Drosophila melanogaster: one gene and its partner. The protein of the gene in region 1 purifies or fractionates together with the protein of each later gene. This does not show direct contact. Each region holds a gene or a part of one and is shown on either strand. Other genes may lie near its edges. The genes, in order: Irk1 and hzg.

Region 1 (3,929 bases):
TTTAATTTAATGCTCAGTGTGCACTAGTAATGCTTAACTTTAGCACATGTCACAGAGTCACAAATGGTATACCTAGATCTTGGTGGAGTCGAGACTTAAGATGGAATACCTAATTGGCACACTTGAAACTGGTTCCTCCCACACACAGGCACATGAAATACTGATTTTCCGGCTGTAAGTGTCCCTTCCCTTTCTTCGCAATTATATAACAAGATTTATATCTTAGGCAATTGAGCATTTATTCACCGCAATGTGCCAGTTATTAGACAGGGCAGTTTCAGTGGCATTCCAAAAAAAATATATATATATACATATAATCTTGTGTGTGGGATTCAATTTCATATACGCATATGCATGAACAAATTTTGGGGTAAATATATCAAGCCATTGACGTCAGAGGTCAATTATGCATTAGGATGCGTTTATGTGTTTACTAGAAAATGGATTTCGGGGTTTAGTAACTAAATATTAATAAAGCCGCTTTCAAGGAATTTTGGCATCTATATTTGTGAAGAGTTAAAATCCGAAAATGCACAGAAACAAAATAATAATAAGTTGTGTTGCTTGTAATGGGTAATTATATTATCCATAGTGTTGCGTTTAATTTGTTTTCATTGCACTTTGCCGTAACAAAAAGTCATTATTCTGTTTAAATTCTCATTTGCTTTTCGAAACTTTCGTTGTGTTTAACGCAAAGCGTTAATGATCTCTGAGCCACGTGCTGTGTTAGCCGAAATTGATCGTAAATCAAATACTATAGGACTAACAAGTATCATTCTATTGGATGAAATTAGGCACAGCCAACTTATTACATTACACTCACCCCAAGCCGAAATTGCAAACGTGATTCTCCGGACACCTATTCTATTACCCATTTATCGTAATGGCCGCTTTACATCTGCAGCGAGCACTTTGAATAGATAGCCAAAGTGAATACACAATGATTCACTGGCTATTTCCATTCCTATTCATACCCATTGTGGGCATGTGACACCGTGCACTTTGCACTGATTGTGTTTGCATTCGCTCAACTTGGAGCACAATTGCACAGGTGTAACAGTGTTCAGATACATTTACATCTACAGATGCTCACTTGAGGTGAACACAAAAAAAAAACATGGGAAAACTCAAGCGTTTTTACAAGAAAATTTAATATGTAATAGTTGGGTAGATAATGTTGTAGTAGCATATGAAAATCATATATTTTATTTGTATAAAAATGAAAATGATTCACTAAACTACTATCTAGTCCTGCTTAAAATAGCGAATGAGAGGTTAAACCAGAGAAAAAAGGGTGCTGGCAAAAGTGATGGATTTATGATGCAAATTGTGGGCGACACCATCAGCTGACATTGTTTTATCACTGGGCCATATATCACGAAGAACTTCGCCAGGGGGTGTTACTATGGTCGAAACCATTGTTGTCAATTTAAGATACTGTTACTGCTGCCATTTGATTGATTGGCAGCAGGCAGGGGCTCACGAAAAGGGATGGAACTGATTTGGAGCTAGTTTACTTTCATTTTTAGCAGTATTCATTGGCAATATTCAAAAATATTCAAAAATATCCTTAATCTATAAACCCCTTTTAAGAAATCCAGTCTACGCCCCAGTTGCAGATGGGAATCTCCTTTTGCGCACTTCCAGCAAAGCAGACATCCTCAATTCCCCCAAACTAGCTTTAAAGGATTCCCCAACAGGTGGCGCCACCCCACTCCACTCCACTCCCCCCTTCCGCTTTCTCTATGAAACTTCTGCCGGCGTAATCACATGGCGCCAACATCTGTTCGCCAGCAGCGCAGCAACAGCGCCGCCGGCGACCTTATGACAGATTTGGCAATGCTGTAAAGCAAAGCAAAAGCACGCCGGCAGCGCCAAAAGCAAAAGCAACAAGCAGGCAAACGCCGACGCAGCAGCGACGCCTCGTTAGGCCAACACGATAAAACACAAAATAAAAAAAAAAACAACAGAATTGTGTGTGCTAGATGACGCTACCGGTTGCTTGTGCTTGTTGTAGTTGTTCCTGCTGCTGCTGCTGCTGCGACTGTTACTGCTGCTGCGGCGGCGGCTGCTGCTGCTGCGGCGTCTGTTGTTGCTGCTCGCTTTTGGATAATAAAACGGGCAACGCGCACTCGAGCGCCAAGTCAATTTGCGAACGCCGCTCGTTCACAACGGTGGCGCAAAAAACAAAAGCAAAGCAATAATAATTTAAATAAAAACAAACGGTAATAGCTCTTCTTCAGTTACCAACACTGCCCCCCAAGCCACCGACCATCCCGCTCGCACTTTTGTTCCCACGTTCTGCGCGTGCGTGCGCGAGCAGGGCAGAGCAAACGAGACGAGTCCGAAATCAGAAATACGAAATCCAAAACCAAAACCAAAACCAAAATAAGTCGCCAGTCTCCAACGCGTCTCGTCCACGGCAGGTCCACTTTGAAAATCGCGCGTTTCGCGGTTGGCAGTTCGAAATTTCCAAAAGTTTCGAACGAAAGTCGCGGGCGTATTGTGGTTACTCAAGAATTCGCGTGAAATTCGAAACAATCAAATAACTGTGTGGATTTAGTTTTGGAAAATTAATTAGAAAAGATATCCAATTTTCTGGGGGAAACTCTCGAGTGAAAACGGTTTGTGTGTTGTCATTGTTATTATTTTATGTGTTTCCCGTTTATGGTTGCTCGCACCAGAGAACCCCAAAATAAAATGTTGACTTCATATAATTTGCATAAAAAAAAAAACTGAAAAAAAACGCTTAGCGCTGAAATATGAAATTATGGAAATATTCCAACAAAAACATACAACAAATTATCGCTCATACATTTTATGAGCATAAGCTCCGGTCGCCATCTCATTTGGCTAAAAATTTATAAACAATACGAGACAGTATATTTTGAAATTGTTTATTAAATTCAAGAAATTGCAAGTCAAAATTGTTCTAAGCATTTTTGAACGCAGTGGAGAAAACAGCGGGATAAACAGTGCAAACAAAATATTAAATAAAAATTTAGAGAAACATTTAGGCATAAATAACTTGAAGTGAACTCAATGTTTCAGAATTTGTGCTTAGAATTAACAAATATTTATGCTGATTACTTATGAATGTGTCATGAGTTCAAGCCGATTAAACAATACATAACTATAAAATTCTCTTTAAAGCTTATCAAAAAGCATAAATATATATGAAATGTGCGAACAATTATATGTGGTTTGATAACTATTGTAGTTAGCAGTTGTAATAATGCATAGAAATAGTGTTTGCGTTTAAACATTTTTAAAAAATTTCTGTTTGGATAGTAAAATATGTGAATATTTTTATGTTATTTTAAACTCATAAACGAATTATGGCCGTCTGCAAAAAATTTTAACACCCAAAATATTCCATTAAAAACTAGATTGATTTAGAAGAATTTTATAGGGCCGTGCAACACAAAATCGCCAGTTGGTTCCATTCGAGACGAGCACCTCAAGACGAGACGATAATAATGATAACGATAATGAATAAAAACCGCAGTTTGTACAATTCACGAATTTTCTAACCACAAAATGAAACGAACTTTAGGACTTTGTTAAGTGTGTTAAAGACTTTAAAGCGGCAAGCGAGATGAAAACGTTGAAAAGTGTGAACTTTATTGTATGAGGTGTGACAATATGCAGGATAGAATCCAGATGTTTAAACCCAATATATATGTGCATTTAAACTGAAGTCTAACTCGCATTCGTGTTCCATTTCGGTTGCAGAGAACAACGTGGCCGCCAGCAAAGAACCATCCATGATTGGCCCGCACTCTTCCAGATTGCAAAAGAAACGCGCCCTCAACAGCTATTCAAATTTTCCCTTATAACGAATAATTCTCCCCAAATTGGCGACTAATCGAGATATATACCAAAGATATCGCAGTGCAGTCAGTAAGTTTAAACTTTTAGCCGTAACT
Region 2 (3,929 bases), on another chromosome or scaffold:
AGGACATCAAGGAACAGGTGAGCTCAAATAAGATTGAAAATATGTTCAGTGACTGATCCTCAAATTTATCTTATAGACTATGTGTCCTGTCTGCTTTGACCGCATAAAGAACATGGTCTTCCTATGTGGCCACGGCACGTGCCAGATGTGTGGCGACCAGATTGAGGGGTGTCCCATTTGCCGCAAGACCGTGGAAAAACGCATCCTGCTCTTCTGAAGCCCGTTCCCGGTTCACACATTCCGCGCACAGTCTGCACAGCCTTCGAAGTATTAGGATATTTAAAGGACTCACATTCTTATACACACATATATACACACACAATATCATATATATAACTATATATCGGATTGGTCTTATAAAGCAAAAATATATTTTTAACAAATATTCAAACAAAAACATTAAGCAGAAATACTTTTGCTTGGCTCCTTGCTAATCAGATCCCTCAGAATGTCCTTCTTGGCCTGGAAATAGTCACGGAACCAGAAAATGTGATCCTTCTTCTCCTGGGCAGTCAAGTAGGGATTCTTGGACAAGCCGACGCAGACGAGCTCCATGAAATGGCGAATAGGCCCCTTGCTAGGACACCAATCCTCGAGATGTTGTTCCAGAAAAATGTGTTCCGAGAAGTCCACGTTATGCTCGTCCTCCCAATCCTGCTCATTGTTGATGGGAAAGCGCCACACCTTCTTTTGATCCGTCCACAGGACCATTTGCTCGAAGTAGTTTGCCGGGGGATGGGAAGCTTGTAAACTAAGCTCCCGCTCACTCAGCTGTGACCAGGTTGAAAGGATGTCGTTGGAAATCGGCAGCTGGGTATCCTTGAAGATACCCAACGGTTCCCCGCCGTACAAATTGACACTGCCCGTAAAGGATTCAGCCTCTCGTTTGGTTTGCCTCTGTGACCGCTGATAAGCCCCATCTCGATTCTGTGGCTTGAATCTGGAAGCCAGCGAGCGGCGAACGTACTCGCCGCGGGTCTGCTCCACCTGCTGCGGCTGCTGACGACGATCGATCTTCATGCCCACGATAATATCACTGTTGTGTAAGGAAAATAAATTTTATTAGATTATCCATTAATGCGAGAAAATCATTTTTACACACCTCAGATTGAGTTCCTTATCACCAGAAGGAGATCCCGAAACATCCGCCGTCTGATTTTCTCCGGTCGCTGCTGAAGAGGACTCGCTTCCATGGCCAAGGAGTTTGGCCAATAGCTCAGACTCTGTCTGCTTCTTGTCGCTCTCACTGGTGCCCAGCATGCTAGCAATGTTCTTGGCCGCAGTTAGAACATTCTTGGCGGCTGCCTCCTGTTTCTGGGCCTCCCTCCGCTTCCTGTTGGCATCACCAGGACGTGGAAAGTCCGATGCCGAGAGCTGATCCGTGGCCTGCATGGTGCCCAACAGGCGGTTCAGCCGCTGGGCCGCCGTTTCCACAGGTTCCTCCTTCTTCTTCGTGGGCTTTTCGTCGTCCGAAGAGGAGTATCCATCGTCGTTTTTGGACTGCGAAGAGGAGTAGTTGACCAATCCCACGTTTTTGAAGGCAGACGGTAGCAGGGAACTGAAAAATAAATAGTCGAGTGACGGATTTCTTTTGGTTATTTCAAATTAGACGGGTGGCCTACCGTAGGCCCAATCTCTGGGAACTTCGTACGGCCAACATTTTATAATATTTCTTTGATAATTTTAACTAGAAATAAGACCAAAGAAATCGCTCGCGTAACAACAATTCGGCGGAGAGTTGCCAGACCAGATGAACTGTTTGCACTGCCGTTTAAGCTAGTTTATAGTTAAATTTGGCTTTATTTTATGTTTGGCTTCCCTTGTCCTATTTCTTATAGTGTTTTGATTGAAAATATCCTTAACTAACCTAATCATTTCATGGACATTTGTTTTTTATCTGATTTGATATAATTTGAAATAAAATGTTCTTAAAATTGCATTTTGAATCAAGAATTTTATAGATTAACTTGACCACAGTTGGCAGCCCAAATTGCACCAGATAGTATGACCTTTGATTATCGAATTTGGAAATCTATGAAAATAATTATGTAGTTCAAAACAAGCTCCTTTTATAGAATTCTACATTCTCCTTGTAAGTAATTAACTTATAATCAAGCCTTTCTTCAACCTGTGATTCTAAGGTAAACACGAAATGTTACCACTTTTTCTTTGCACTTGGTAATAAGTCTCGCATCCACCGCGGTCACACTAATCACACGTTTTGTTTTTTGCGCTATTCCTGTTACTTTTTTTCGACGTACACACGCGTTTTGTTATTTTGCGCGATTAATTAATGGCAAAAAATAAAAAAAATAAATAAATAACGAGACGAAATAACGAAAACACCAGCGGCCGAGCTAGTGTGCGTGCGAGAGTGTGTGTGAGTGCTGTGTCTGTGTGGGCGTTTATAAATAAAACGCTGCGAAGCTGTGTGCGAAAAGCAGACGCGGATAAAGAAGTAAAAGAATGAGCGCAACCAAAAACAAGAGCGAAGGAAAGAAAGAAAGTGTTTTTTATTGAAATTCGTTGAAAAGTTTTAAATTTACTAAAACAGAGAGGCGAAAGTGCAACAGAGCGAAAGAGAGAGCGATAAATAGCGAGGTGAATATCAAAGGGAAACCCATTTGCATCGAGAAATAAAACGAAGCGAACGGACGGCCAAAGCGTAATTGTAAAATTCCACTGTCTGGGGCAGGCTATCAATTGGTGCATGTGTGTGTGTGTGAGCTATATATACGTGGTAGATGTATTATATATGTACGACATATATACTGCACGACACTTACCATATATACGAAGAAAACATGGAATCATCTCGCGATAATTGCCATATCCAATGTATCTCTATCTCTCATGTGTGCGCAACATTTTGCAGCTATCCTATACGAAACCGATCTGAATCAGTATCTGAATCCGAATCCGATTTATCAACCTGTTAAGCGAAGTGGAGCCACAAACCGAGTGCTTAAATGGATGCAACATCAATAATAACGCAAGTTTCCCGCGACGACGAGCAACTGAACGTCTATCCCAGCTATCCCAATGACAAAGGTGAGAACAAATAATGGGGGCCAAACTGGGGAAATCGCTGAAAACGCAGTCCGCATACACATACATATATTTAAAGCTCCCTTCATGACTCATCGCCACTCGAAGGCGTCACAACAAAGACGAAAGGACACTTGTCCGCTGCCAAGAAGTTTCCCCCACTTACCAACCACCACCCACCATAACCTCCCAAAGAAGAGGGCCCAACACCCCGCTGACCTTTCTAACACACCCAATTGCGGTCAATATAATTGTGGGAATAAGTTAGTTGTACATATGTCGTACTTTCCGAAAGTAGCAGCAAGTTAAATGGCATTGGCCTTTTTAATTTGTACAGGAACCACTCCAAAAACAAACTGATGAAAGACAAAAGTGCTTTTAATTCGAAAAATATATTCAAACAACATGCAATTAACTTGTAGCTGGAAAAAGTTGTTCAATTCTGTCTAAGCTAAATATTTAAATTAACGTTAGCTATTATCTGTTTGCACGACTGTGACCAGTTTGCTGTACTTTCTGTAATTTGAAACCAATTAAATGGCAATTTCTTTTCTTTAATTGGGAATCTAATTTCCATTTTAAATGTCTGTACTTTTTCTACTTTCAAGGTAGACTAGGAGTTTGAATTTATAGACACATTATTGTGTAAAAATCAGACTTATGTTTTCTTAATAGATTGTTCGACTTTGATAACTGTACTATGCTAGCAAAAATTACCTTTAAATATTCAAAGGTATCAATTTATTAATCAAAAATGTCCCCAGTCATGCATTTACATTTAAATAAATGGGCTTGCACAGGTTTTCACTGCGATGAATAACAATACTTAATAATAGTGTTATTTTCACGCCAGTTGTGCCTGTCTGTTGTGTTTGTTTCGC

What was found.
Region 2: the proteins of Irk1 (region 1) and hzg purify together in Drosophila melanogaster (affinity purification with western blotting; one study listed by BioGRID). This does not show direct contact.

What each region holds. Positions count from the first base shown.
Region 1 is NT_033777.3:23,166,161-23,170,089, forward strand, and holds the start of Irk1 (inwardly rectifying potassium channel 1), read left to right. Parts: upstream 1-2,156; 5' UTR 2,157-2,225; intron 2,226-2,277; exon of another isoform or gene 2,278-2,624; intron 2,625-3,735; 5' UTR 3,736-3,929.
Region 2 is NT_037436.4:16,003,021-16,006,949, reverse strand, and holds the start of hzg (herzog), read left to right. Parts: upstream 1-2,213; 5' UTR 2,214-2,601; intron 2,602-2,875; 5' UTR 2,876-2,969; coding exon 2,970-3,051; intron 3,052-3,929. Other genes in the region: mib1 (mind bomb 1), read left to right, coding at 1-17, 77-217; mRpS31 (mitochondrial ribosomal protein S31), read right to left, coding at 400-1,036, 1,103-1,558, 1,623-1,660.